Lepisosteus oculatus: one gene and its partners. The protein of the gene in region 1 purifies or fractionates together with the protein of each later gene. This does not show direct contact. Links are inferred from orthologs where the notes say so. Each region holds a gene or a part of one and is shown in the gene's direction. Other genes may lie near its edges. The genes, in order: cAMP-dependent protein kinase type II-alpha regulatory subunit, A-kinase anchor protein 8-like and prkacba.

Region 1 (10,273 bases):
CTCGCTCTGTCACTCCCGCTGCAAACAGCGCACCGACCCGGTGCTGCCTTGACTTTTTTTTTGTCACCGATTACATTTTTATAAAAAAATTGTTTTGTTTTAAGTTTTGTTATCAACCTGCAAGAGCTTGTACTGTCCTCCCAGCCATGTCCAAACAGCAGCAGCCGATCAGCCCGCTGAAGAATTTCTTCGCTGGGGGCTTCGGGGGCGTGTGTCTCGTGTTCGCGGGGCACCCCCTGGACACGATCAAGGTAAACTTCACGGGGGGTCACGGGGGACCCGAGCGACTCGCCTCGTGTTTGTTCTGCATGTGTTTCTGACACCGCTGGGACACTTAAGTTGAATGTTCTTAAATGCTTATTGTGATCTAGAGTGGATTTTTACTTCTTAGTATTTTATGTTGGGAAATGGTGTTTCCTCTTATTTACTGGACACGTATCGCCCCACTTTCTGCATCTTTGGGGACACGCTGGACGCGCATACTGTGAACCCCGGAGCTGTCGGGGTCGCAGGACGTGTTTTTCTAACTCCTCAGCCTCGGAGGGGTGGACTTCGGACTCGCTGAGCGCTGCGACCGGAATATTTAGGGAGTCGCATGCCCCGCATGCCCGCACAGTAGCCGGCGATGTTGGTATTGTGATTATTTGTAACGCGCCTTCACGTCCCTCAGTCGTTTGGAACGAGACAGTATTATAAATGATTATAGTTGGTGTCGCGGTCCCACTCAGATAGTGCACGCTGTGACCTTTACCCCAGTTTCATATCTAACCCATAGGATAAAGAAACGACTTCCCACGTCACTCTCGTCGCCAGGGGGTTGGAGATGAGCCTGTGATCTGCAAGCTCAGGTCTCCCTAACAGCTTGCCAAGCAGACAGTGCGGCTCCCGTTGCATAGCGGACCGATCCGCTCCGGGTTTTACTACCTACGGGGCTCTTCGATACAAGCCAGAACTGGGTGCAAGAGATTTCGAGTTTGACCTTTTTTTGACTGCATGTGTATGGTCAAAACAAGGTGAAATAATAAAGGCCTTATCCGTCCATTTTCTGACCAATTCAGGGTCGCAGGGGGGCCAGAGTCTATCCCAGCAAGCAACGGGCACAAGGCAGGGTACACCCTGGACGAGACGCCAGTCCATCACAGGGCACACACACTCATACTCATACTCACACTCACACTCACACTTACTCACACACACACACACACTCACACTCACACAGACACACTCACACAAGGGCCAGTTTTCCCAGAAGCCAGTTGACCCCCCCAGCATGTCTTTAATCTGTGGGAGGACACCCACACAAACGCGGGGAGAACATGCAAACTCCACACAGACAGCACCCCAGGTCTGGAATGGAACCCGGGGCCCCAGCGCTGTGACCACTGCGCCGCCACGCCGCCCGGGCCTTTAAAAAAAAGTGGTAAAATGTTCTAAAAAATGCACCTTCAGCCCTGAGCGCTGCCGTGTCTCCCCGGCAGGCGGAATCGCTGCAGCTGGGGTGCTGAGGGGGGGGGTCAGATCTCTCTCTCTCTCAGTCTAACCCCCCCCCCCCCCCGTCCTGTCTCCATCTCTCCTGCAGGTGCGTTTGCAGACGCAGCCCAAGCCGAGCCCTGGCCAGACACCCCAGTATAAAGGCACGTTTGACTGCTTCAGGAAGACCTTCGTCAAAGAGGTGTGGGGGCTGGAGACCCTTACCTGGGGGGGGGGGCAGGAGGGTGAAGGAGATAAAGGGGGGTTGAAAGTGTGGCTGGTAAGAGAGCATGTGGGGCGTTAGACACCCCTTGTTAGGTTTAATCATTATCTGTCTCTTCCCCTGTTCCTCTGTCCTTCTCTCTCGCAGGGGGTGCGGGGGCTGTATAAGGGGATGGCTGCCCCAATCGTGGGGGTGACCCCCATGTTTGCCGTCTGCTTTTTCGGCTTTGGCCTCGGCAAGAAATTGCAGCAGAGGAGCCCCGATGATGTGCTGACGTGAGTGAGACCCCAAAGCTCCCCCCATAAATTCACCACAGAGCTTTGCGTAGTGCACCCCAGGAGTATTTGCGAGCGACGCTCTGTAAACCCAAATATGTGCCTGAACTTCTTTGTCCTCTTGTCTCCCTTAACTCTTTCATTCCCCATCCCTCCCTCTCTTTCCTGGTTCACTCCCTCTTCCATGTTGTCCAACTCTCTTTTCCTTCTCCCCGCCCCTTCCTGCCTTCTCCCCGCCCCTTCCTGCCTTCTTCCCCCCTTCTCCCCGCCTCTTCCTGTCTCCTCTCCATCCTCTGCCCTCTCTCTCAGGTATCCCCAGCTCTTCGCAGCGGGAATGCTGTCGGGAGTCTTCACCACTGCCATCATGGCTCCTGGAGAGAGGATCAAGTGCCTCCTGCAGGTCAGGGCCGTGCCCCACGGGTGTGAGGCTGGGTTTGAGCCGAGAGCGCTGTGTGGTTGAGTGACAGCGGGTTTACTCTGTGGCCCTGCAGATCCAGGCAGCCTCGGGGGAGGTGAAGTACGCCGGGCCGCTGGACTGCGTGAAGCAGCTGTACAGAGAGAGCGGATTGAGGGGCGTCTACAAGGGCACGGTGCTCACTCTCATGAGAGGTACTGACGAGGGAGGGCCCTGGGAGACCCACTGGGAGACCCACTGGGAGACCCACTGGGAGACCCACTGACCCATTGGGAGACCCATTGGGAGACCCACTGACCCATTGGGAGACCCATTGGGAGACCCATTGGGAGACCCACTGACCCACTGGGAGACCCGTTGGGAGACCCACTGACCCATTGGGAGACCCATTGGGAGACCCATTGGGAGACCCACTGGGAGAGAGACTCTAGCACTGAGAGAGACACTGAGAGACACACTGAGAGAGACACTGGGAGAGACACTGAGAGAGAGAGAGAACGTATTTGTTTTTTTTTTGTTATACGTCATTTAATTTGTTGTTGCTGCTGCTGTTCTGTCTTTATCTTTTGGGCGATTCCTTTGATGTCTGTGTATAGGAGCGAACGTGCAAATAAGCATTTCATTGCGCCTGTGTGTATGACAAACGAACCGAACCGCGAGACTGAGACCCTGATACCGGCGCTGTCTCCCTCTCTCAGACGTGCCGGCCAGCGGGATGTACTTCATGACGTACGAGTGGCTGAAGCACATCCTGACTCCCGAGGGCAAAAGGTCAGCGCCCGTGCCCGTCTCTCTGCAGCCGCGCGGGGGGCTGGTCAGCAGTGCCCCTGACCGGGGGGGGGGCTCATTGACCCCCCCCCAGAGACGACACAAGTGTCCCGGGCACCGCTGGGGGCTGGGGGTGTGATATCCAACCGCTGGGCCCAGAGCCCCAACATGCAGTTCTCTGGTCACCGCTGGCCCAGATGTGGCCGGGGACCCGCGGGCCTGACCGGGTCGGTCAGGGGGCGTGTGCCTGGGGGGCCCGCCGCCACCTGGCGATCTGGGGCTACTATAATCGTACGTTTGGATCGGGGTGCGTTCGGGCTCTCGAAACCAGGCCGGCTGAACAGAACGGGGAGGAGAGCTGGCCCACTGACCCCCCCCCTCTCCCCTCCTCTCCTCTCTCTCCAGTCCCAACGAGCTCAGCGTCCCCAGCGTGCTGTTTGCCGGGGGCATGGCGGGCATCTTCAACTGGGCAGTGGCCATCCCCCCGGACGTGCTGAAGTCCCGGTACCAGACCGGTGAGACGGGTCGTGGGCCGGTGGAGGGAGGGGTGGGGGAGAACAAGAAGGGGTCTCTCTCTCTGCTCAGGGGTCAGGAGGGGGTGGAGAACAGAACAGTCCACTGAACTCTGACTGGGGGGGGAGAGGAGGGAGGGGTGTGCACTGACCCGGTCCCTCTGCCCCTCTGTCCGCAGCGCCGGAGGGCCGGTACCCACATGGTTTCCGGGACGTCCTGAGAGAGCTGCTCCGCGAGGAGGGCGTGGCCTCGCTGTACAAGGGCTTCACTGCTGTCATGCTGCGTGCCTTCCCTGCCAACGCTGTGAGTCTCTCTGGCCAGACTGGGGCCACTGAGCCTGTCCTCTCTGGGCAGCCAGGTCTGCCTGTGTCCAGTGTCTGTGTCCAGACTGTGGCCACTGAGCCTGTCCTCTCCGGACAGCCAGGTCTGCCTGTGTCCAGGCTGTGGTCACTGAGCCTGTCCTCTCTGGGTGGCCAGGGACTTTCCCAGTTCTGTTGAATGCATATGGACAGTGTTTCATGTGTATAAACCTGCTGAATGAGTGTTCTCCTGGTATAAATCTATCTCCCCCTTTCTCTCCCTCGCTCCCTCGCTCTCTCAGGCCTGTTTCCTGGGGTTCGAGGTGGCCATGAAGTTTCTCAACTGGATCGCTCCCAGCTTGTGAGCGCCGCCCTGCTCTGCCCTTTGGGGCAGCTGGAGGTCAGGACACAGACGCACCTGTGGAGAGAGGGACAAGAGCCAGACCTTTGCAGTCCTCGGCTGCAATATCTTTTTGATTGTTCTCGTTTTTCATTCGAAATTGCCTGTTTTTTTTTTTAACGATGGCCTTTAACTGAGACTAAAAAAAATGATTTAGAACACTTTGCCTTAAAAACCTTCCTGAATGTCAAGCAAGCAGTGCGCTAAAATACAGGGAATACCAGTGTGTGTATATAGAATATATACTGTACACCTGTATATATGTGTATATGTACATGCCCTCCAGTGTGTGTGGAGAGGAACATTTATTGACCCTTCTAAGCTACAGTTCTGACTCTGGTTTAAACCCAGTTATCAAACGAGCCTGACCCCAGCACTTGTGTGTATTTGGTTGTGTTTGTGTTATTCTGCCTTTATGTAGCTGCCACTTTTTATCCAAGGTGCTAACTGGACGATGAATGCGCTTGCACTACAGGAAGCAGGGCAGTAGGTTTGCCTAACAGCATCTTAGAAAGAAAGTCCTCTAACCCGATCGCAGTACGAGGCGAGCCGCTGCAGCCGTGAAAGAGCAAGGGGCAGGTTAACGTGTCTGAACACGAGGGTGCAGCACCAGGAGTGGCCACCAGAGGGAGCCCTGCGCACACGATGCACCCCCGGACCTGGGACCTCTAGCGCAGCGTGGGATAGCCCACCGATGTGCACGGTCAGCCGCATTAACAGTGACCCGCTGCGCGGAGTTCACCGTCTGGTACCGGCCCACCTAATCAGATACGAAAATAGAACGGCTTTAATTACCAGGATTTCAGACAAAGCCGACTGGGTCACGAGGGATTTACGCAATGTTACGAAATGGGGTTAAAGGAAAGGAGGCGATGATCGATCCCAGCGCACCCAAGAAGAGTGAAAACGAAACGCTGGCGTGCGCGAATGATGCACCCTGTACCTTACGCCGCAGACCTGCCCCGTGCTAAAGCCTTCGGGCGGGCGTATGCTAACGAGCTTTGGAAATGCCGTTAGTTACTGGCCAAGCGGTGCAATCGGGATCCAGCTTATCGATCACGCTTGATCAATCGGAGTGCTCCCTGCTTTGCCAGGCGCGGTGTCAAACACACCTCCAGCCCCTCCCGCGTTCTCGGCTTCCCCTTTCGTGACGTCTCCTCCCTGCCTGGCCTTCCCATTGGCTGCGCCGCCGCCGCCGCCTTACCTCGTTTCCGATTGGCCCTCTGTTACACAAGGCCCCCCTCACTCGCCCGCCCCCCGCCTCCGCTCATTGGTCCCTTCCGATTCCGCCACCGGGGCCCCATTCCCTCCCCTCCCGCGCGCGCGGGGCGATAACGCCTACTCCATGCCCAAATAAGGGAAAATTCTTGGCGTCGGCTTGGCCGGGCCGGCTCCTGATTGGCGGGTAGGCACGTCGCTCAGCGGCTTCGCCCGGGCCCCTCCTCCTCCTCACTGCCGCTTCTGCAGCTCCGGCCGAGGAGAGCGAGGGTCTCGCCGGCAGCGGCACAGCGAGGGAGACGCGGAGAGAGCGGGAGACGACTGTAAATATCAACAAGCGGATAATTCGTGTTCGAGTAACTGACTCAAGAAGAAGCCGGGCACGCCGGGGACTCCTGTCCCGGGAGGAGGAGGGGGGACAAAAGTCGGGTTTTGGTCGGCGGCGGCAGCAGCAGCAGAGGGACGCTCAGAGGGACAGACAGCCCGAGCCGCAGCCAAGGGTTTATCTTGACTTTTGGACTGACGCCTTTTTTTTTTTCCTCTCCTCCTTGTGACTTTGCTGTATTTTGTTTTTTTTTTAAAAAAAGAGAAAGCCACCCGCTCTTCGGGAGCTCCCGCGTCCCCCTTTCTCCCTCTGTTGGCGGTGCGGAGCGCAGAGGCGGGCGGGCCGGTCCAGGCGGAGCGGGGTGGACGGCGCTCGCAGCCCCGGCCGGCCTGCTCCTCCCCGGTCTCGGCCCTTCATGGTCCCCGGCGGCCCGGGCGCTCGTCACGGGCCAGGCAGCGAGGGGGCGCCCCGGAGGAAGGGGAGGTAGACGGGGAGACCCGCAGAGGAGGCTGTCGAGCCGGGGAGTTACCTCGCAGCCTCGCCCGAAGGGGCTGGTCGCCGCCGCCGGACCGGAGACGCGGGCGGATAGATCGAGAGATAAATAAAGCCCACAGCCTCACGACAAGCCCGGAGCGGTGAAGTCGGCGGGGTCCCCCATACCCCCCAAAAAAAAAAAAAACCTGCCCTCCAGCCGGGGCGGTTTACGCGCGCGCGAGCCGAACGTTTGTTTTTTTTTTCATTTAAAAAAAAAACTTTTCCTCGCCTCGAGCGCACGGGGGGGGAAGGGCTCGAGCGGGGCCTTAACCCGACCCGGCCACGAGCCAGCCGCGCCGGGGTTCGTAAACACCGCCGGTTCCGCACGGAGCGGCCCGGGCTGCTCGTCTGCGTGTTCCTCCTCCTCCTCCTCCCCGAATAAACCAGCGGGTCTGAGCCGCCGCCGCCGCTTCAGGAGGATCTGTGCGATTTGGAGCTGTCAGAAAACACGTCCCCGCGTGTCTGTGTGCAGCTGCTCCCCACGACAGAGTATTCCCACTCGTGTGTGCATCGTGTAATCGGCTTGCCGTACGCGTGCTCGTGTTACGTTAGGTATTATTTCCCAGTCAGGGGGCACCGTGTTGTGTTATTTTTTTTCTCCCCTCTCTCGTATTGCATGCACTTCAGTTTCAACAACAACAGAAAAAAAAAATATTTTTTCCCGACCCCGCCCCCCCCCCTTCATTCCTGCGCTATTTTAAAACGCTTTGTTTTTTTTTAAATCAAACAAAAGCTGACCCGACCCCTCCTCCAGACCCCCACATACACACTCGCACACCCTCCTCTGAGGGGTGAGTTCACAGGGGAACGAAAATAAACCACAGGCAGCGCCATGAGCATCGAGATCCCGGCCGGCCTGACGGAGCTGCTGCAGGGCTACACCGTGGAGGTGCTGCGGCAGAGGCCGCCGGACCTGGTGGAGTTCGCGGTGCAGTACTTCACCCGCCTGCGGGACGGCCGGGCCGGCAGGGCCCCCGCCAAGGCCGTGCTGTTCGACGGCGAGCCCATGCAGACCGAGTCCAACGGGGACGAGGGCGAGGAAGACGACGACGACGACTCCGACTTCGAGCGTGAGTAGCGCCGCGTCCTGCGGGATCGTGGCCGGCGTGCCTGGGCGTGGATTGAGTCGGCGAGCGGATGGGCTTGTTTGGGTTCCTTGGGTATCGAGGGGGTTAACGAGCCTCCATAGGTGCGCGTCAGGTCAGGGGGGGGTGAGTCGTGTGTCGCCCCTCCACAGAGCGAAGTCGAGCTGAGGTGCACGGGTCTCTCCTCATTCCGCGCAGTCCCAGCTCAACAGGTCGTGCCCCACCCCCCTCACACTGGCGTGGACCCAGTACCTGACATCTCCCCCCCGCGCGTTGAAACCGTGAGAGCGGTCCACGCGGGTGCGAGACGAGCTCCGAGCACGCCCGCCCCCCCGCTGCTGATGATGAGCCGTGTCAGTGGGCTGGCCCAGTCTCGGCACCGGTCACTGACAGCGGCGCACCTGTGTGCTGAGAGAGAGTCTCCCACTCCTGCGCAGGTGTGATGATGGTGATGCTCCTCTGAGCCCGGCTGGGTTTCTCTTACTGGCGGAGAGGGTCTGTGTGGGTCCGGTGACCAAGGTCTGAAGTCATGGAGGAGCTGGGCCACTGTCACTCTGCTCTTTAAACAGGCCTGTCCCTTCAGCCCTGGTCTCAGTGGTCAGTGTGTGAGGGGTGTGAAAATGAGCCTGTGTGAGAATCCGTCAGTCTGCCAAGCTCCTCGTCTGGGCTGCTGGTGTGATCGAGCGATGGCTTCTGTGTGACTGGAGGGCAGCTCTAGAGTGGGGGCTGAAAGCCTGGGAGAGCTCGGCACCAGCAGTCTGTCAGCAGAGTTTCCTTGTGTTGTGTTGGAAGAACAAATGTTTGCCGAAGGGCCTTGGGAGTTTTTTTTTCTTCAGCTGAGCAAGATCCCTATGAGCTGTGTGTGTGTGCGTGCGCGCGCGCGCGTGAGAGAGAGAGAGGTGCTGCAAAATGAGCTCTCAAGATGTTTTTGAACTTTGTCGACACGAGTGAGACAAGTTGCAAAACCAAAATTAGCACTGGGTGCCACCGAGCTGAATTGAAGCGAATGGTTGGGGGACAACCGGTGGGGTGTTGGCTGCAGAATCCGGAGCTGTGCAGCGGCCTGAGGGACAGTGACCAGACAGGGCCCACTGCACTTCGGAGACCGGGCTGAGAGAGACGGGGAGGCATCTGTATCCTGGCGCGTTGGTCTTGGTCATGTGTCGTGTGTATACGTTTACTGTGCTGTATATACCAGTACACTTGCTGCTTGGCACTGGTGATATACAGTTCTTGGTTTTATCCACTTTTTTGTGTTTGGGATCTTATTTTAGGTTTATTTTTAGCTACAGTCCCAGAGAGAGAGGCTTGAGTCTTGAGTGAGATGGTGAAAAGCAGAGAGGTGGCGCTCGAGGTGGAAGGGGAGCGATTTGGGCAGGAGAGAGGGAAGGGGACAGACAGAAGTCGGCTTCCTGCAGATTTCTCTTGAAGTTACTCTCCATCACGTGACTGTTTTTTCTTAATTTGTTTCTGCGCAGTGGGTCGTCGATGTCTTAGTCTCTCTTTGTGGCCAGCCATCAGGCGAAATTGATTTTGCGACGTCTGGTTTATCGCTCTGTTTTCATTGTGCGCTGTGTAACAGTGGGTGAGGTGCTGTGCTGGTCACTGTTGCGCCTTGGTAATACTGCGGTCAGCCAGGCCAGCACAGCACAGCTCTCCGCTCCCAGTCACACTGGAAACCCCGCGAGGCGGCAGGAGAAGTAAAACGCGGCACTCCCCTGCTTTGCTAAGAAAGAGGAAGAGGCTGTTCTGACACAGGTGTGTTACTCTCCGTCTTCCTCACTCTGCCTCCTGTGTGGAAGCAGTGACATCCGCTCTGTTCCCGCTGAACGGCAGACAGGTGGACGGTGCGTCACGGGAGACTGAAAAAGATCAGGGTCCCCAGCTGCTGTTTCTCCTCTTCCTCAGAAGAGGCTGCTCTTCTCTGGGCGGAGAGAGGGAGGGGTCTTCTACCCCCCCGTGGGGCGGAGAGAGGGAGGGGTCTTCTACCCCCCCATGGGGTGGAGAGAGCGAGAGTGGAGGGGTCTTCTACCCCCCCCGTGGGGCGGAGAGTGGGAGGGGTCTTCTACCCCCCCCGTGGGGCGGAGAGTGGGAGGGGTCTTCTACCCCCCCCCGTGGGGCGGAGAGTGGGAGGGGTCTTCTACCCCCCCCCCCCGTGGGGCGGAGAGTGGGAGGGGTCTTCTACCCCCCCGTGGGGCGGAGAGAGGAGGGGTCTTCTACCCCCCCGTGGGGCGGAGAGTGGGGGGGGTCTTCTCCCCCCCCGTGGGGCGGAGAGTGGGGGGGTCTTCTACCCCCCCCGTGGGGCGGAGAGTGGGGGGGTCTTCTACCCCCCCCGTGGGGCGGAGAGTGGGAGGGGTCTTCTACCCCCCCCCGTGGGGCGGAGAGTGGGAGGGGTCTTCTACCCCCCCCGTGGGGCGGAGAGTGGGAGGGGTCTTCTACCCCCCCCCCCCCCCCCCCCGTGGGGCAGAGAGTGGGAGGGGTCTTCTACCCCCCCCCCCCGTGGGGCGGAGAGAGGAGGGGTCTTCTACCCCCCCGTGGGGCGGAGAGAGGAGGGGTCTTCTACCCCCCCGTGGGGCGGAGAGTGGGGGGGGTCTTCTCCCCCCCCGTGGGGCGGAGAGTGGGGGGGTCTTCTCCCCCCCCCCCCCCCCCGTGGGGCGGAGACAGAGGGAGAGAGGAGGGGTCTTCTACCCCCCGGGGGGCAGAGAGAGGAGGGGTCTTCTACCCCCCGGGGGACAGAGAGAGGAGGGG
Region 2 (10,332 bases), on another chromosome or scaffold:
TCCGATCCATAAGAAACGATAACGTCATCACTGTCACCCCCCATCCGATCCACCAACGACAAAGTCAACACCGTCGCCCCCGTCCGATCCAACGATAACGTCACCACTCTCGCCCCCCGTCCGATCCATAAATAACGATAACGTCACCATCGTCGCCCCCCGTCCGATCCAACGACAACGTCACCACAGTCCGATCCATAAATAACGATAACGTCACCACCGTCGCCCCCCGTCAGATCTAACAACGACAACGTCACCACCGTCACCCCCCGTCAGATCTAACAACGACAACATCACCACCGTCACCCCCCGTCCGATCCAACGACAACGTCACCACCGTCACCCCCCGTCAGATCTAACAACGACAACATCACCACCGTCACCCCCCGTCCGATCCAACGACAACGTCACCACCGTCACCCCCCGTCCAATCCATAAATAACGACAACGTCACCACCGTCGCCCCCGTCCGATCCAACAACGACAACGTCACCACCGTCACCCCCCGTCCAATCCATAAATAACGACAACGTCACCACCGTCGCCCCCGTCCGATCCAACAACGACAACGTCACCACCGTCACCCCCGTCCGATCCAACAACGACAACGTCACCACCGTCACCCCCCGTCCAATCCATAAATAACGACAACGTCACCACCGTCACCCCCGTCCGATCCAACAACGACAACGTCACCACCGTCACCCCCCGTCCAATCCATAAATAACGACAACGTCACCACCGTCGCCCCCGTCCGATCCAACAACGACGTCACCACCGTCACCCCCCGTCCAATCCATAAATAACGACAACGTCACCACCGTCGCCCCCGTCCGATCCAACAACGACAACGTCACCACCGTCACCCCCGTCCGATCCAACAACGACAACGTCACCACCGTCACCCCCCGTCCAATCCATAAATAACGACAACGTCACCACCGTCGCCCCCGTCCGATCCAACAACGACAACGTCACCACCGTCACCCCCCGTCCGATCCAATAACAACAACGTCACCACCATCACCCCCCGTCCGATCCAACAACGACAACATCACCACCGTCGCCCCCCCGTCTGATCCAACAACAACGACAATGTCACCACTGTCGCCCCATCTGATCCAACGACAACATCACCACGATCGCCCCCCATGTGATAAAACAACGTTACCACTATCGCCCCCCGTCCGGTCCAACGCCAACAACATTACCTCCGTCATCCCCAGTCCGATCCAACAACGTCACCACCATCGCCCCGTGTCCGATCCAATAACAAAGATGTCACCACCGTTGCCGTTGCCCCCTGTCCAATCCAACAACAACAACAACATCACCCCCCCCGTCTGATCCAACAACAACAACAACAACAACAACAACGTCACCACTATCGCCCCCAGTGTAATCCAACAACAACGACAACGTCAGCACTATCGCCCCCTGTCTGATACAACTACATCACCACCACTATCGCCCCCTGTCTGATACAACATCACGACTGTCGCCCCTCTGTGGCAACACCACCGCCATCGCACCCTGTCCGGCGAGACAAACATCGCCGCCAAAATCGACAAGCGCAGACACAGCAGGAACACCTCCAGCGACAGCAACATGCGATTGGTGAGGACTAGGGGCCGCTCCTCCGGCGGGCCTCGCTCCGATCCCGGAGAGAGGCGCCTTCCCGGCGGGCGAGCGCAGGTCAGACTGTCCTAAATTCGAAGGTGTGTGTGAGTGTTTCTGCACAGTCCGCTGGGAAACAAGTCTCCGCTTTTGTTTTGTTTTTTATATATATATACAGACATTGCGGGAGCCCCCAAGGACTGCCATGCAAGCCAGGGTCTGGCATTACTTAGTAAAATATCCAGGAAAAATTAAAGTCGCTCTTTCTCGACTCGTCCAGCGAGCTAAGCCAAAGCCAAGGCTGTAATCGGGGCTCTAGTCTGGTATAAACAACGCCTGGAGGGAAAAAAAAAAGACAAAACCGCCCGGTTCTGCGCAGGACTGCTAGTTCAGTACTTACGGGAAAAATGGCCTGGTTGCGTTTCAAGGAGTTAACTCCTTGGCCCTTTAAACAACGCCGTGTTGCATGCTGTAATCTTTTTTTTTTTTTGCGTGTGTTATGCGTGCGTTTTCTGTGCGTGTGTGTGTCTCCGTGTCGCTGCTATTTAGCTGTCACTGGGCGCGTTCGGCTGTCCTCGGCTCTTCCCGGATACGAGCGGCGCGACTCCATAATGCTCCCCGCAGGCCCGCCGGGGTGGCGGCGGAGGGGCAGGCATGACCGCAGCGGGCCGCCATCTTGAGTGTGGCAAACCCGGCGCTTCCTCGGAGCGCGGCAAAGGCTCTTTGATTTATTATTAGCAATAATAATAATAATAATAATAATATTAATAATAATAATAATAATAATAATAGCACCTGTAAAAGTGGCTTGTCAAAGCAGTTTGGGATAAGAAAAAAACAAAATGAGAGGAAATCAGTAACCTGAATCAATGAATCCATTAGACCCAGTGTGTGACCACCAGTGAGGAATCAGAGACACTGTGGCCCCACAGTGACAGAGTCTGAGGCCCCTGAGATCCCGGAGTGTTTCCATCCGCGGTCCGCTCCACAGAATCGGACACCTTCCAGCAAGGATACGAACACGTGTTCATCTGTTTATTAAACAGGTCAGAAATACGTGAAAAACTCTGTAAAACGACTTCTCCGGGCTGTCATTTCCAAACGTCTCCTGTGAATGTTCGGACCACCTGCCGACACGTCTGGAAAGTGGACACACTTGTTAAAATGCGTCAGCTGCCTGGCGGTGAAGAAAGAGTTGAATTGTTGTAATAGCCTCGCCAGATCACGTCTCTGCACAGGTGACACTTTCTCTGCGCTGTTTGTGAGAAATGACGTTAAAATATAAGGTTTAAGCCCACAAGGGCTGCAGCTGCAGGCCCAGCACCTAAGAGCCTGAGGGAGGTGTGGGCTTTGTGCAGCCTCTGTGCCCAGCGACCTGACCAGCTTTCCCCCACGCCATACAAACCTCAACACAGCAGCCATATCACCCTGCAACTCACGACTGGCAGTTGGAGCTCAGCAGGTGTGAGTCCGGCCAGTACCTGGGTGGGAGACTCCTGGGATAGCTAAGGCTGCTGCTGGAAGAGGTGTTAGTGGGGCCAGCAGGGGGCGCTCACCCGGCGGTCTGTGTGGGTCCTAATGCCCCAGTATAGTGATGGGGACAGTAAAAAGACGCCGTCCTATGGATGAGATGTAAAAAAATGGGAGTTTCTGTGGTCATTCAAAATCCCAGGGCGTTTCTCAAAAAGAGTAGGGGTGTTAATTCAGTCCTGGCCAAATTATATTAATTAATTAATTAATTAATAATAATTGCTTACACTTATATAGCGCTTTTTCTGGACACTTCTCTCAAAGCGCTTTACAGGTAATGGGGACTCCCCTCCACCACCACCACCAATGTCCAGCATCCAATGTGCAGCATCCTGGATGATGCGACGGCAGCCATAGTGCTCCAGTACACGCACCACACACCAGCTATCAGTGGGGAGGAGAGCAGAGTAATGAAGCCAATTCATAGAGGGGGATTATTAGGAGGCCATGATTGGTAAGGGCCAATGGGGAAATTTGGCCAGGACACCGGGGTTACACCCCTACTCTTTTCGAGAAACACCCTGGGATTTTTAATGACCACAGAGAGTCAGGACCTCAGTTTTACATCTCATCCGAAGGACAGCGCCTGTTTACAGTATAGTGTCCCCATCACTATACTGGGGCATTAGGACCCACATGGACCACAGGGTGAGCGCCCCCTGCTGGCCCCACTAACACCTCTTCCAGCAGAAGCCTTAGTTTTTCCCAGGAGGTCTCCCATCCAGGTACTGACCAGGCTCACACCTGCTTAGCTTCAGTGGGCTGCCAGTTGTGAGTTGCAGGGTGATATGGCTGCTGGGGTCAGTGGCCCCCACTGGCCTCCCAATAACCCCCATCTCTGAACTGGTTTCATCACTCTGTTCTCCTCCCCACTGAGAGCTGGTGTGTGGTGAGAGTATTGGTGCATCATCCAGGTGGGGCTGCACACTGGTGGTGGTGGAGGGGAACCCCATTACCTGTAAAGAGCTTTGAGTGGAGTGTCCAGAAAAGTGCTATAGAAACCTAAGGAGTTGTTGTTGTTGTTATTATTATTATTATTATTATTATTATAACCTTGCGCAGTACAACAGTCATCACTGCTTCCGATTCCGACCACAAAAATCCATCCATACCTTCCCAGACACATCCACCTTTTTGGTCTTTACAACTCCATCCCGGAGGAACTTCCAAATATTTTGAAATGTCTGGTATTTTCCATTCATTCATTTTCCATACACAAAAAAATCTACTATCCCTATCCTCAATGTGAAACAAAAATGCACAAAAGTGCAAATTCACTGCAGAACTAAAGACAAATTTACCTGTGTTTTCAAAGAGGTAGACAAGAATGGCATGCTCAGTGACTGGCATGTAGACCTCATACATATATACTTATAATTGCGATATATTGTTAAAAACATCTTCGAATGTTTGGGGGAGACAGAGCCTATCCCAGCAAGCAACTGGTGCAAAACAGGATACACCCTAGATGGGACGCCAGTCCATCACAGGGCACACAGAGACACTCACACCTGGGCCAACTTTCCCAGAACCCAGCAGCATTTCCTTTGACTGTGGGAGGAAACCCACACGAAAACAGGGAGAACATACAAACTCCACACAGACAGCATCCCAGGAACTGGGCCCAGGACCCCCGCACTGTGAGGCAACAGTCCTGGCCACTGTACCGCTCTATTATGTATACATCACGTACCATTATATAGCGGTAATTAACACGAGTGTCCCCTTGAATGTTCAGAAAAGGAGGGTTTTCGAGAGAGCAAAACGCAAAGAATTGCTGGAAGGGAAATAACTGACTCGGTCCTGAATTTGTACAATCCGTCGCCCCCGCTTACCCTACCGCTTCTGGAAGTCGACCCTAGTCCTGGAGCCCAGACGGTACCGCCTCTTCCCTGGGGGATTCTGGGGTCAGGACGGCGTGGGGGATTAGGGTCTCCAGTTCACCAAACTGAGGGGCCGAGCAGGACGGCGGGAGCTGCCCCAACACCCCAGGCCGTGTGTAAGAGACTCGTCTGTCGCCACGCTCGGCTCGGTGCTGTTCGGGCGATCGCACTGTGCGAGTACAGGAGTCCAGGTTTTAGTTCCGCAGTGAATTTTCCTGTTGATATTGTACATTCAGCGCAATCAGGCGCGGGCAGGTCTGGTGCTGGACTGGCTCCAGGCAGGGAGCTCAGGTTTCAGTTTTAAGACTGCATTCAAATAACGCACTTTATTGGGTGGAAAAGTGATCCGTATGTTCTGATGTGGATTATTTTAAGTAGGGGCGTATAAAACTCACTGAAATAGTACTGACAAGTACTACTTCATCCTGACCTGTTATTACACCCGTCACATTTTTTTTTACAATCCCGTTCTGTGTAAATTAATTCATTAGACGTCTTTTTGCTTGATGAACCCCAAACCTCCTCCTACTTGGTGACTGGAAAAACAGCATCCAATAGGAAAGGCGCGTTACAGGCAGTGGCGCGTTGATTCGACAATGAATACGACCAGCTCCACCAATCAGAGATGAATCCCCCCTCTCCCGCTCTTGACTAACGGGCACATGGTGACTAACAGGAATTCTAACCAATGACAATGCAAGTGAATTGTGATTGACACTAGTATTGGCCAATAGGACAACTCATATGCTCCTTCCTTAAGGCAACGCTTCGTTGACGTTAGCTTCCACCCAATCGCTGCAATCCAGCTGCTGATGTCGTGGATGACTGATGCCTCTACAAACCAATGGGTGATGCTCAGGTCAAGCAGTCGCCCAATGAGATTGTCCCCTGGGCAGGGTTTTTCCGTAGCGGGTTCGCCCCTTCCCAGGCTCTTCGAGTTGGTTCCAATGAGAAGACGGGGAGAATGGATGGCAACGATTACGGAGGTCAGTCAGGAAGAAATGAACCTTTAAGTTGTTTATATTTCTACATTTTTCATAATAATGTAAGGGGTTCCGTGCCTAACACTTAAACACTGCGGTGCGGCTCCCTTGATCAAAATCCATGTCGCAGAAGCTGGTTTTAAACGCAGTGCATTTGCATCTATGGACGTTGTTCGCTTTGCTAGCTACGCACTTATTTTTGTATCTTTTGCTGGTTTCAACAAAAAGAAAACGCTAACCGTCCCCGAAATCGTTGTTCTGTCTGCGTGAGCCCCCCGTATTCCCCGTGCCCCATACCTGTGCTCTCTGTGCTAGTCTGGAACCACGCAGTTCTGTAATGTCGGAACATTTTTATGGTATTGGACCCGAGACGCTTTCAGCCCGGTTAACAGCCCTGCGCAGTGCAGACTGGTGAGGTGTAGGCACCCTGGCAGAAATACAGCGGGGTTCCGGGCGGTTAACGTTGCAGCGTCGATTATTCAGGCTTTTAGTTGTCCGGACGTTGACAGCCGGTTCGAGATCGGAGTCGCGGCTCTGCAGAGTCAATCACGGAGCCAGAATTGGTCACGACTGACCTGCCGAGCGTGCTAACTTGCACAATGATACACTGCACGCATTGAATCGCGTTGATTTTGGGGTTTCTCGTGTCCTGATGTGTGAAAGCAACGCGCTGACGGTACGGACTCGAAAGGAGGCGTGTTGCTGTTGGGGGGGCGGCGGCGGCGGCGGCTTCTGAATACAATTATTATTTTTGCTTTCTTCAACTCCGTTCCTTCGCAGCGTTTGCACCGCGCCGTGCTCGCCAGCAGCACGGAGGCTGTCAGTGTTGTTGTTGTTGCGGAGGGGTGCCGCTGGCGAGCTGCCGGACGGTCGCTGGATTCGCAGCTCGACTCAAAATGGCCGCCTCGCTACCTCTTCTCCTCCTGTCACGTCGTGCGAGAGGCCGGAGCCCTAGTCGCGACGGCTTGTGGGCGAAATAACTGCTCCCTCGAACCCCGGTTTTCCGGTCCAGCCCGGACCCGTGCGGGGCGTTACAGCCGGCCGGGTTGGCGGCGGCCTGTACGTGTCTTTGTGCTGACGGGAGTCCGTGCGGGGGGGGGTGGGGGGGATGGCTTTGCTTAATTTTGGAAAATGGAGGCGAGAGGGCAGCCTGGTCCGAGACCCCAAGACAACAGGGGCTCTGACAGGTCGGGTGCTCGCAGCGTAATCTGTGTCACCCGCAGGGAGGGTGTATGGAAATGTCCGACAGTCTCCCTGTCTGTCTCAAGTAGGGGTGTCTGCAGCTCCGTACCCCATTTCCCAGGAGCGCAAACTCCAGCTTTGATGAAGTAAGCGAGTCACAAATTCATTTAGGATGGCAGGGTAGGGCAGCAGTCCGCACTGCTGCCTCTCAGTCCTGGGGACCTGGGTTCAGTTCCTGGGGTGCTATTTGTGTGGAGTTTGCATGTTCCCACCCGCCATTCACGTGGGCGTCCTCCCACAGTCCAGAGCGATTGCTGGTGGGAAGATTGGTCCTGGTGTGAGTGCGTGTCCAGTGATGGACAGGCGTCCCTTCCAAGGTTTCTCCCTGCCTTGCACCCATTGCTTGCTGGGATAGGCCCGAATTGGAAGAAGTGGTCTGAACAGGGATGGAGAGGTGGGCCTGTCCGATGAGGAACCACAATGAAGGTCACACTGAGGCTGTCCCAAACCTTCGGAAAGGGCGTGATATAATGGTGACCCCCTAAAACCGGCAGAATCGGAGAAGGAGACACCCTTTCCTGTGGTGGGGCCTCGGAGAGGGTTGAGCTGCAGGGGCCAAGAGTGGAGGAAACAGGCTGGTGCTGCTGAGGTGTTCGAAAAGGGATGGATTCAAGAAGTGTTACTGATCCAACACGCAGACGCACCCCTGTGCCTGCGCCGAGCCGGGGTCTGTGTGCGTCTGTGTGCGTCTGTGTGCGTCTGTGTGCGTCTGTGTGCGTCTGTGTGCGTCTGTGCCGGCCTGCTCGTGTGCGCTTTGCGCAGGGGGACAGGCCTCACAGTCCTGTGTGCTGTGCTCTGTTGCAGGCTATGGCTCCTGGAGTACGGCTGCCAGCGTGAGCAGTGCCGAGGTCGGTGCCTCAGGTAAGGTTTCACGACGCCGGCGTGTCCGGTCCTGCCGGGCCGGGCCGAGTCTCCGTTCGGGTTGGTGGGTAAAACCTGAAATGGATCAAACGGCTTTGCGGCAGGAGTCTGATTCTCATCTATAAACAAGATGTGAGATGGATGTGGAAACGGGAAAATGAATCGGTCTCAAAGGGGACTTCCTTCTGATCCACTCCAGGTCTGTAGTGTTGCTAGCAAGATTCTCAGTGCACAGCAGTCTGATCCAGTCCAGGCTTTATTAACATTGCCAGTGGGATTCTGAGTGCTCAGCAGTCTGATCCAGTCCTGCAGAGCGAGAGCGAGGCCTTCACTCACTCACGTCTTTGTGCCGCCGTGGTCGTCGGCGTCGTGCTCCCCGTGGTCCGACGTTGTCACGGGCTGGCCCAGTTTAGCCTGGACGGGACTGGTTTGGCCCTTCTCCGAGCTGGAGCGCAGTGTATCGCTCTCGGAGAGGTGGAAGCGCTGCTGGGTTCTGAGCCGGAATTAGGGTGTTGCAGCGTGATCGACCCTTTTCCCGGGAGAGCTGCCCTCTCTGCGGGGCGCTGTTCCTCCGTTGTGCACCACACTCCAAGCTTTGGAGCTCAAGTACACATGCTCGTCTGTCCAAGGGCCCTGCAGTTGGGAAAAATCCGGACTGCTGCGCTCAGGGACTAGTGGGACAGAACAGTGTTAAACCAGCACTGGATCGGACTGCTGTGTGCTGGGAGTCATGGGCGAGACCAGTGTTGAACCAGCACTGGATCGGACTGCTGTGTGCTGGGAGTCATGAGTGAGACCAGTGTTAAACCAGCACTGGATCGGACTGCTGTGTGCTGGGAGTCATGGGCGAGACCAGTGTTAAACCAGCACTCGATCGGACTGCTGTGTGCTGGGAGTCATGGGCGAGACCAGTGTTAAACCAGCACTGGATCGGACTGCTGTGTGCTGGGAGTCATGGGCGAGACCAGTGTTAAACCAGCACTGGATCGGACTGCTGTGTGCTGGGAGTCATGGGCGAGACCAGTGTTAAACCAGCACTCGATCGGACTGCTGTGTGCTGGGAGTCATGGGCGAGACCAGTGTTAAACCAGCACTGGATCGGACTGCTGTGTGCTGGGAGTCATGGGCGAGACCAGTGTTAAACCAGCACTGGATCGGACTGCTGTGTGCTGGGAGTCATGGGAGAGACCAGTGTTAAACCAGCACTGGATCGGACTGCTGTATGCTGGGAGTCATGGGCGAGACCAGTGTTAAACCAGCACTGGATCGGACTGCTGTGTGCTGGGAGTCATGGGCGAGACCAGTGTTAAACCAGCACTGGATCGGACTGCTGTGTGCTGGGAGTCATGGGCGAGACCAGTGTAAATCGAGCACTGGAACTGCTGTGCCCTGGGAGCCTGTTAGTGGTAACGTTAGGGTGCTGTTGCTCTGTCCGCTGCAGTGGCTATAAGCTGCAGCTCCAGTGCCCGCAGTGCAGGGTTAAGGTCCGGCTGTGTGTGTGTATCCCAGGTTACGAGGGCTACGACTACTTCAACGCGCAGTCTGCAGGAGCTGCTGGCCCCCCCCAGCCCACGGACTCCTACGGCTACGGCGGCTCCTGGGAGGCTCCCCAGGCCGAGTCCGTCCCGGGCTCCGTGAGCACCGGAGAGGGGGACGGGAGCCATGGCGTCTCCGAGGGGTCCACGCCCAAGACGCCCAAGCGCAAGAAAGAGAACCCCGACTCCCTCATCGCCAAGATCAACCAGCGGCTCGACCTGATGTCCCGGGAGGGGTGCGAGGGCGACGGCGATCAGAGGTGAGGCCCGCCGCTGCCTGGGCACTGTGCTGCTCTACAGCCCCTGGTCCTGCGTTTGCTTCTGCATGGGGGCACCGTCTGTGTGGAGTCTGCGCGTTGTCTCCCTCTGGCTGCTCCCGTTTACTCCTGCGGAAGCGCTGACTGAGGCATCTGCGGTCTTCGCTCTGCCCCTGGTGCGCCCCTTGCTGGACGGGCGTCCCGTCCGGGGTCTTGACCCTCCTTGTGCCCGGTACCTGCCGGATGAGGCTGTGGCTCACTGTCTGAGGTGGCTCTGCCTGAAACCGGATGCACGGGTGAGAGGTGCCAGTCGGGCACGCCGCCCCCCGTGAACCCGTTGCCTTCAGGCACACAGCGGGCCCCTGCGAGCCCAGCACTCAGAGGGGTATCCCAGGGGGGTAACTGGGCTGCTGAGCCTGTGAGA
Region 3 (10,145 bases), on another chromosome or scaffold:
CGCCTCTATGAATTGGCTACATTACTCTGCTCTCCTCCCCACTGATAGCTGGTGTGTGGTGAGTGTTCTGGTGCACTATGGCTGCCGTCGAATCATCCAGGTGGATGCTGCACATTGGTGGTGGTGGAGGGGAGTCCCCATTACCTGTAAAGCGCTTTGAGTGGAATGTCCAGAAAAGCGCTATATAAGTGTAAGCAATTATTATTATTATTATTATTATTATTATTATTATTATTATTATTATTATTATTATTTGTGTTGTAAAATTTTAACATGACCTGACTGAAATTGAACACTTGTAGCTGTGTTTCATGGTACTTATTGCTTCCCCACATTGTCTAGATGATGAACATTTTGTTTTCACATAGATGTCTAAGCCTTTTTGATAAGCACCTTCTTAAAGCTATTTCCCATCTTAGGCAATGTGAAAATCAATACATATCACATTACATCTACATTATCTTCTGTGTTCTACCAAATAATAATGTTTTTTATATAGTATTTCCTCAACGTGCTTTGCAGGTAAAGCATAAACAAAGACAGGAATTTAAAAAATAGCACGGAGAAACAGAATGGTTTAAGATGCAGCAAAATATGCAAAGGGACAGACAGACCTCAGTTCAATAAAATGTTTATTCAGTCTCAAATTCTGTATTTGCACCTTCTATAGTAGTTGCTGACACTCATTTTTGAGAACAGTGAATGTGATAATTGTTTAAAATCTGTAATTATTTTGTTATCTGGATTCTGGTGTAAATGAGGGGTGGGAAATGCACTTTGAGCATTTACCTATTATCTACAATGTGTTTCATTCATTAGTTTTCAGTCCAAATGCTTGCCTTTCATTGATGTGCACTACTGTCAGTTTGAGAGCGGATCTTTTATAAGGAACAGGGCAGCTGTATGGAGTAGTAGGGTGCTGGACACATATTTGCAAGGTGCTGCGACTATACCCTTGAGCAAGGTATTTCACTGCTCCTGATTGCAACAGTAAAATGTGTAAATATGTGTAAAATGTAAGTTGCTTCTCTCCCCTGTCTGTCTCATGGAGAGCAAGCTGGGGTATGCAAAAATACAAATTCCTAATGCAAGAAATTGTATATGGCCAATAAAGTGATCTTCTGGTAAAAGGTCAGCCAGATAAGTTATCAAAAGCCTTCCAATCTAAATGTATTCTGGCATTTGTCACTAAGGTAGCGCTGCTGTTAGGAAACTGAACATGCTCGGTTCAGTCACAAATAGAACAAGAGTGATTTTGTTTCTGAAGTGTATTGTCCCAGGGAGGAAACACATTTCAGCATTTTCCAGTTGATCTTCAACTCTGCTATTTTGAAACACAAAGATGGGTGTTTATTGTTTCCTTTATGAAACCAAACTTTGGAAAATGGGAGGGATACCCATGCTATAGAAAGAGAGACCATCCTTAACTCCAGATCTGTGAGCTCTCTCTGCACCTTCTTCTGATATGTGAGCAGACACCCATACCGACTGGAGTAACAGGTGGGTTGTCAGCCCACCCCTTTCACCAGGAGCAGCGTGTATGCTCCTTATAAGTTATTTTCTATAGTATAAAAGCTGTCATTGTGATTTAGTGTCATATCCTGTGTTCATGGATAGATTTATAAATACAATAAACAGTAACAGTTCACTACTCAGCTTTTTTTCTTTTTTGTCAAATTTGTTTTAACTGATATTGAAATGTGAGAAAGATAAAAAGCAAGATGTAGAAATGGTAAAGTTAAAAATCACATAACCAGTCCTTGTGTCTTAGAATCTCACCAGTGCAGAATATAGGTTGGGGGAAAATGATAAAAGTAAAAGTGATATTTATTTTACTTAGCCATTCAGTTCTTTATTTTTTGCGGCACCTGCTTAATGTGCTCCTCTAATGAGATTGCTGTATTTTTTCTGCTTCCAAGCCAAATTCGGAATCTTCTTATGTTCTTGTTACATGGGTGTTTGTTTTAATTTCTTCTGTATTAATCAAAACTTTAATACCCCAAAACACCAATAGAGACTGCTGTTATGTAGGAAGCCTCCATTATAACATATTGCATATTGTTGCATATTGTAATAATCCTTACACTTATTAGTGCTTTTCTGGACACTCCACTTAAAGCGCTTTACAGGTCATGAGGACTCTTCTGTACCACCACCAATGTGCAGCCCCACCTGGATGATGCAGTGGCAGCCATAGTGCACCAGTCCGTTCCCCACACATCATGCCATGTATTTTTTTAAAAAACTGTTAATTTGTTATTGTTTTATTAATCTCTGGACTGTCAGGCCCAACTTATCTGATTGTGCATCTTTGTTGAATTTTGGCACGCTGTTCTGGAAGTTAATTAAATAGTTGTCTCACAATTAAAGAAGAGATTAGTTTGCTTGAAATTGTATGTTGAACAGTGTTTTTGAGAACTTGAGAAATTCAGTTAATTTCAGGGAGTTGTTACAGAACTGTCAAATTTCAAACCAAAAATCTTCATATTTCTTACATGTTGTACATCACTTTTAAAACCATTTTTGCAATTCTTTGTTCTTCTTGAGCAACATGAAAGCATAAAGCTTTACTGTTTGCTAGGGATAAAGTGAAATTAGAGATCAGAGATTTTTGGCTGCAAGGGTTGATTATTCAAATTCTATTTTTAATCTTTTTAGTCCTTGTCATATGAAGCCACTAGATGGCACTAGAGTACGTGTAATTGTAAGGAGACTGTGCTGTTGTATTTCTTAGCTAAGTTACGCTGTCATAGGAGAAGTTCAGTAATGTTTGGTTTTCCCATTACACAACCCTCAAAGCCTTGAGTCAGACCTCAAAGATGCCATAAAAATAAGTCCATTATTTCTTGAGGAAACATTAAATTAATTCCCTTTTAGCTGTCTCTTCACAGGATTGCATGTGTGTTCTGTGACTTCAGTAGATGTGTATTTTTGTGTCTCTACTTTTGTTTAATGAAAGCATAAATCTGTTATATGAATAAGACATGATGTACCACCTTAAAAAGACTGAATATAGGAGAATCATTATTCTCATATGTAATTTTAAGATCTTTATTTTTAGGGATAAAAGTACAACAACCGAAGGCAATATTTGTGAATTCTAATGCACAAACTAACTCCTGTACTGTTGTCCTTCCCATCATTACTGTTGATAAGTTTGAAAAACTGTTAGTGCGTCCTTTCTGTCATTTTTGAGGGGCTCTGCTGTTAATGTTATACAGTAATGGATATGAGTAATGTATAGAATAATACTGGCTGAAGGTTTTCTTTTATAAAATAGACTTTGGAGGCAAAGTACTTGCAATACCCACCATTTTCTGTATAGTTGTGCCATAAATGACTTTGATTAAGTCCACTTCCACAGTAGAAATTGGCCATGAGTTTCATTTAGTTAAGCACAATAAATGTGAGTTTTGGACAGGAAAGGCCACGAGTCTACAGCTCACGACTGAGTTTTGTGTATTGCTGCCGTTTGGTCCGAAAGTTATTTTTCTTGAGCCTGTGTTTTGTTTGGGTGAGTGGGGGGGAGGGGTCATACAAGTCACCAAGAAAGTTCAGGTCAGTACTAAGAAACAAGCAGATTCTCTTAGGTGAAATGGTGATTCCCACATGTGCTTGGTCATTTGAAGATGTAGTTCAAGCAGGTAGCTGCGTCAGCATGTGTAGGCTGCAAAGGAACATATTCATCTGAATATGTACCATGTTAATCTGCGGAGTGTACTGCAGTGTGCTACAACTTTCTTAATGTAGGGCATCTTGCAGGAGGGTAGGGCTGTAGAAGCACTGTAAAACTACAGAAAGGAAGGAGTTTACATCAAATCCTCATTGAAAAGCAGTAGATGTACAGTATTAGACTTAAATATCAGAGATCTAATAACATTTTCCAGATCAGATGTTTTTAATTAGTTTTTAAAGAGCTATTTTTTTCCTCAGTATTTTAAAGATTATTGGCTTTGTTTTGTAATGCAAGAAAACATTCGCTGAAGGGAGTTTCTGATGAAAACCACACAAGGAGGAAGTGTGGATTATTAAGATTAGACTGACTGCTTACTGTGTGCTGCTTGCAGCCCATTTTCAGCAGACATCGTAAGATAGACCTTTCAGACTTGAGATTGCCGAGGTTATTGATGACGGCACAGAGATTTGGTTTTAAAGTGTACAAGTCATGCAAGACCTGCCTTTGACTGATGAGAATATTTCATGTTATATACTTGAAGGTTCATGGTATAAATATTCAAGCAATCCTTAGAAAATCTCTCCCACTCCCCACTAATTGAACAAGTTAATCTTGTTTTGTAGCTCTTGACTTCTCTGAAGTTCAAGTTGTTGGATTAAGAGATACAGTAAGTGTTTTGTTTTATACAAGCTAGATGAATAATTATTTTTTTCACTTCACTTTCATTATCAAGAAGAACAATGAGATTTCTCCCTGTGTCAGTCCCTGGTATGGAAGCATAGCATGCTGTTTATGTTATTAAGCAGGCCTGCATCTGATATTGAGTAAAACATCGTTGCACAATCTTGTCATTGCACAATCACAATGTCAGCATGCAAAGTGTGTCTTGTGGACAGGATCAAGTGGGTGACTTTGTAAATGCATAGCAAAAAAAAAACAGGAAAGCAGCAAATAGTACTAAAACAATATTCCTGTTGTACCTAATAAACAGTATGTAAAATATGCCTTAGTATTTGGCTAGCTATATTGGAATCAAAAGTCAGTAACTGACAGGGTATCTGTAAAATGTGTGTAGTCTATTGTATAATAGCGGAGTGCTTTTCAGTGTTCTGAATGGCATTAGTATCTGCCTGCATCTAAAATGTAGACATTTTAATACTGTCAAGACATTTTGATTTTTCTGCTGGGACAGATTTTGATAGCCATTTTAAACGGCAGCTTTGTTTTGGTGCCTCCTACACACTTCCTATTTTGTTGTCTTCTTTTCGTGGTTCCAATTTACTGCGTGCTTCCAAGCCATAGTACCTTACAAAAACCTGAGGAATGTGTCATGAAAATTCCAGTTCTGTAGCTGAAAACCAGTTGCATTCTTGTACTTTTCACAGGATGGCATAGTCACAGTGGAATAACATACTGGAGAGCGGTATGGAAAAAAAAACTTGTATATGAAAGTGGACTATTTTTGGAATGTTAATAGCAACAAATCAGATTATAACACTGAACAAATACAGGAGACTTCACTTGCGTATCAAGTGAACGTTACATACTGCCATATTTATTACTTGTCTAGAACCTTTTTGAAAAGAAATTAAGCATATTATCTCTGACAGGAAGCAAAACCAATTCAGCATGCGGTAAGCCAAGTAGCAGCACAGTGCTTGCAAACAGGAAGCTTGTATCGCGCTCCTGTGAGTCAGAACAGAAACTTTGAGTTACCTTTGCACTGCAGTTGCTCAGTGTTGCTAAACACTGTCAGAGCTGTGGAATGGCTTTAGCGAAGGAGCTGCAGTGCAACCAGTGCACAGGCACCAGTTCAGGTCGTCACAAACTGGAAGATTTGGCCAGCCGTATTTTTCACCGACACCGCAAGGGGACCCAGGAGCAGAAGGCTTCAGAAAACGAGGGGCCGCATGTCTCGGAGTTCACCATATGTTGGGACAGATGGAGTAAGTGCCAGAATCTCAGAATTGATCAGACAAGTTGCAGCTCGCATGTAGCAAATAATTCTGAACTTCTTTTGTCGGCAGACTGTTCCATTGGAATAGACTTCTGTAAAATTGAGCTAAAAATATTTGATCTCTGAAACGTGTTGAAAAGAAATGTCTGGTCCTTTTATTTTTTTTTCTTGAAGTGGTATCATGAATTCTGTTAGAAGTTATTTTGAGTAAAGATGTTCCCAAGAAGTATACATTAAGACAGAGTGTTACTAATCTTGCTTTTCAGGACAGTAGGTTTTTCATTTGATCTATTTAATCTACTTAAAGAAGACAGCCGTCTTTTAACTTATTTGTATGTGTAATTTGTACAAACTCACCAACTGTTTCTTGTGATTCCGCTGTTAGAAACGGTTAAGTTTGTGATAGAATAACTTAAGGCGTTTGCAGATCAGTTTGCCAGAAAGATTAGAAGTCCTTTTATCGCTTTTTTAGAATAATCATTCCTACGTTAATGTAAAGACATGTCCTGCCAAAGCTCTTTGCTAATGTTAGTTGTGTCATTTTAATGTAAAGGAGAAATAACACCTTTTTACACCCCAAAGCTAGTTTTTTTTTCGATTTATAAATGTGGAAGTATGCGTCTTATCAGTATTTCAGACTTACGTGCAGCACTATCCTTGATAGTGTTGACTGTGTTAAGCTGCTGTTGCACTGCAATTTCCCTCATGGGATCAATAAAGTATCTATCTGTACTGACGGATCACTACAGTTCTGTCAAAAAGTATTTGCCCGCTTTCAGATTTTCAGAATTTTTGCACCATTTGACTATTATGTGAGCCTTTAAGGGTCCTAGTGATGTATAAAGCAAACCTGAGTGAACAGATAACTCCAAAATAGGGTGCTTGTTTAATTTATTCTGTAAACAGTCATCCACCATCCAATGTCCCCATGTGAAAATGGTTATGCCTCCCTAGTTCAGTCAAGTCAATGAAAGGGTTAGCTAGGGCTAGCTGTGTGAATACCTTATTATATACCTTATTTGGGCCAGCCCTGTTCTATTTAAAACTCACAAACCTTGGCTTTTATCATTACAGTGAAGTTCTTTTGATGCTTGTCAGTCTGGAAAAGGTTACAAAACCATTTCAAAAGCTATGGGACTCCACTGATCCACAGTTGAAAAGGAGACGATTTGGGACACTATTCCCAAGCGCAGCATAAAATCATCAAGGAAGTCGCCAAAAATCTCCAGAACAACATCCAAGCATCTGCAGGCCTCTCTCACTTTGACTAAAGTCGATGTTCCTGACTCTACCATCAGAAAAGCATTGGGTAAAAATGGAATTTCACTGAAGAGCAGCAAGGTGAAAACCATTGCTCATTAAGAAGAACATTGATGCTTGTCCACTAAAGCACCTGGATGACCACCCAGGCTTCTGGAGGAATGTTCAATGGATAGATTAGTCAAAAGAAGATCCTTTTAGGCAACATGGGTGCCTTTATATCTGGTAAAAAGTCAAAACTGCGTTCCACAGTAAGAACCTTATACCAGTTGTCAAGCATGGTGGTAGTTGTGTCATGGTTTAGGGATGTTTCGCTACCTCAGGACCTGGATGATACATGTTCTTTGTATTGGAGCATATCAGACTATCTTGCCAGTTGAGGAGCAGTTGGGTCATGCAACAAGACAATGATACCAAATATACAAACAAGTCTATAAGAGGATGGATGAAGAAGAACAAATTCAGTGTTTTAGAATGACCAAGACAAAGTCCAGACATAAACACCATTGAAATGTTGTGTCGAACAAGCAGTTTATGCTAGAAAACCCTCATATTACTGAGTTCAAGGAGGAATGGGCCAGAACTCCTGCACAGCGATGTGAGAGACCGATAAGCAATTACAAAAAGGGTTTGGTCACAGTTATTGCAGCTAAAGATGATGCAACCAGTTACTGAAGCTAACTTTTTCACACAGGGACTTAGGATGTTAGATTACTGTTAACGAAATAAGTGAAGCAGCAAATTGTGGTGTTATTTGTTCACTTAAATTCCCGTTTATAAATCACGTGATGCTCTGATAATATTCACAGCTACTACTGAAAATATTCAACAATTCTGAAAAACTGAAATTTTTTTTTTACAGAATTGTAACTATGACTATACCAATTGATTGGTTGCGAAGGAAATGCCACTTCTTGAAAAATAAAAAAATGCTGTTTTGGTTGCATTCTACACTTAACCTATGGCTTACAATTAATTTTAGTGTGAAACTAAATCAGAGAAAATAGTGTTCACTTCTGCTCGTTATATACTGCAAGTTGAATAAATGATACCTGGATCAAAAAACAAATATCATGCAACAGGACACCAAAACAGAACATATTGGGAATAATCGGCTCAATGATAATAAATGCTTGTTTTTCTATATGGCTTTTAACCTCTATAAGACCCTGAAGTACATTACATATAAGAAGGGATTCACTTCATCCTCCGATGAAGTACAACACCTTCCAGAGTGACATTTGGCAGTCATTATGTGCCAGCAGCCCTACTGGAGGTTAGTAAACAGTCAAAAAATATTTAACCAGTTGATTTAAGGGAGAAACCTCAAATTGGAGTTCACCCTAGGGTCCTAGCTAAATACTCTTACGAACTGGCAGAGGATTTTTAATTATAAAGTAGTCGCTACAGACGCAGTAGTGTTATGGCTCTATAAGGTGTCACAAGTATTTAAGAGGAAGACTTGCATGATGCCTGATTTTCTGCTACAAGAATACTATTTTCCTAAAACGTTTATGTATATAATGTTATTAAAAGGCATGTGCTAATAGCACAGTAATACGTGTGGAACTGGACATTACATTGTAGTGTTGTTAATACATAACTGAATTGCACCATTTTGTATATATAAGAACAGCTTTATTTTCTGTTGTATGCAAAATGGTGGAAGGTGACAGGTCTTTTGCTCTGACAAACTTCACAGTCTTACAGCTTCAGCAAAACAAATCAACGCAGTTTTGATCATGATGAAGTGATACTGTAAACTGATGGATCATTGCATCATCAGATTTTCTTAGAGATGGATTTTTGCTGATTTGTTAAAACTAGTAAACTAAAACAAATAGTTATATGGTATAGAGAATCAGTAATTGAATTAGATGATAAACTAGAATATAAAATAGAATATGTTAGTAATGCTTAAAATAGCTAAAACAAATTAAAATTCCACATGCAAACAGTTTTTCCTGGTCTTTTACATGCTTTGATCCTAATCATTGCCATGTAAAGGAGCAATAGTTTTAATCATATTTATTAAAAATATGTATTTTCTAGGATAGGAGTCTTCTATTAAGGAAGCATTTCCCAATATGGCATGGAGGAAAAGGTCGATTTTTCAGTTGCATGACTATTAACAGAATGTAAAAATACCAAAAGTGTAGGTGTAATGATTGCTGTACATGCCAGAAACAAATGACTAAAAAATAATGCCAAGTATTTTGAATAATCTTATACTTCTACAGCAGAGCCAGAATGTGGTACATTTGGAGTTTCATATTCTCTAATAATTAATGTGTGAAAGTGCCACTTTTATCATGTTTTTTTTCCAGTGTATTCACTTGTATCTTGTAAAGTGGTTTAGAAATGTTGCAACGGTTTCAGTGGTATTGCTAAAGCATTGCATTGTGCCAGCCTTTTAACCTAACTCTGATAAACAAGGTTTTAGGAGTCCATACTAAAAGAGTGTAATTTAGACAAGGGCTATATGAGATGAAAAGAAATGGAATCAAAATATTCCAGTTTGGTGAAAGTGTCCACAACAGATAAATATGGCAGGAAGTTGTGGATAATTACTGTACAATTTTAATTCAACATATCCTTCAAAAGAACAACAATGATTGTTGTTTGTGTTAGTCTATACAGATTTTGTCCCCATATGAATAGTCTAAAAAGTGACATCACAGAAAATGTGGCCTTACTGTATAAACGCAAGCAACATAAAAATGGGAGGCAAGTGTTCCGTGGTTATATATCGGTTTGTAGACTTGCAGGTCCAGTTTGTAATTTAGCTAGTGTGTATTTTCACATGCAAAAAATCATGACGCATTCTCCTTAGCACATTATAGTTTTACCATGCATTTAATATGAAATGATTGGCAAGCTAGAAGTAACTAACTGTCTTGCAACAGATTCATTTGTTAAAGCTGGCCAATGTCCTTTCATACAACAACCCCTTTAATTTTAGTTTTTTTTAGAATCATTTTATAATTGTCTCAATCAACAGTGTAATCATATGACCAAATGACTTCAGGTTGCTGATTAAAAAAAACAGTTTCCACTGTCTCTTCTGTGACGTCTGGTAACATTAGTGAGGTGCTCATACTAAGCATCACTGTGCTGAATTTGGACAAAGCAGGCATGACTGTCTTGTCTATCTTCAGCTGTGTTGGAATCTTATAGCATCTGGATGGTTCCCTTTGTGGCCAAGCTGTATTTTCCTGTTTTAATACTGGAATAGAAAAACAACATTAGTAT

What was found.
Region 2: the proteins of cAMP-dependent protein kinase type II-alpha regulatory subunit (region 1) and A-kinase anchor protein 8-like purify together in Homo sapiens (affinity purification with western blotting; 3 studies listed by BioGRID and IntAct, with this or other methods). This does not show direct contact. The link is inferred for Lepisosteus oculatus from reciprocal best matches to the Homo sapiens genes PRKAR2A and AKAP8.
Region 3: the proteins of cAMP-dependent protein kinase type II-alpha regulatory subunit (region 1) and prkacba purify together in Homo sapiens (affinity purification with mass spectrometry; 6 studies listed by BioGRID and IntAct, counting the BioPlex papers as one, with this or other methods). This does not show direct contact. The link is inferred for Lepisosteus oculatus from reciprocal best matches to the Homo sapiens genes PRKAR2A and PRKACB.

The regions. Positions count from the first base shown.
Region 1 is NC_090699.1:65,619,257-65,629,529, forward strand, and holds the start of cAMP-dependent protein kinase type II-alpha regulatory subunit, read left to right. Parts: upstream 1-5,835; 5' UTR 5,836-7,272; coding exon 7,273-7,510; intron 7,511-10,273. Other genes in the region: slc25a20 (mitochondrial carnitine/acylcarnitine carrier protein), read left to right, coding at 147-251, 1,580-1,672, 1,841-1,968, 2,278-2,368, 2,460-2,577, 3,082-3,154, 3,557-3,666, 3,843-3,967 and 1 more. UniProt on the Homo sapiens protein: Regulatory subunit of the cAMP-dependent protein kinases involved in cAMP signaling in cells. Type II regulatory chains mediate membrane association by binding to anchoring proteins, including the MAP2 kinase.
Region 2 is NC_090706.1:14,032,504-14,042,835, reverse strand, and holds the start of A-kinase anchor protein 8-like, read left to right. Parts: upstream 1-5,859; 5' UTR 5,860-5,874; coding exon 5,875-6,016; intron 6,017-8,059; coding exon 8,060-8,116; intron 8,117-9,625; coding exon 9,626-9,911; intron 9,912-10,332. UniProt on the Homo sapiens protein: Anchoring protein that mediates the subcellular compartmentation of cAMP-dependent protein kinase (PKA type II).
Region 3 is NC_090704.1:23,463,827-23,473,971, forward strand, and holds the start of prkacba (protein kinase, cAMP-dependent, catalytic, beta a), read left to right. Parts: upstream 1-5,367; 5' UTR 5,368-5,441; coding exon 5,442-5,622; intron 5,623-10,145. UniProt on the Homo sapiens protein: Mediates cAMP-dependent signaling triggered by receptor binding to GPCRs.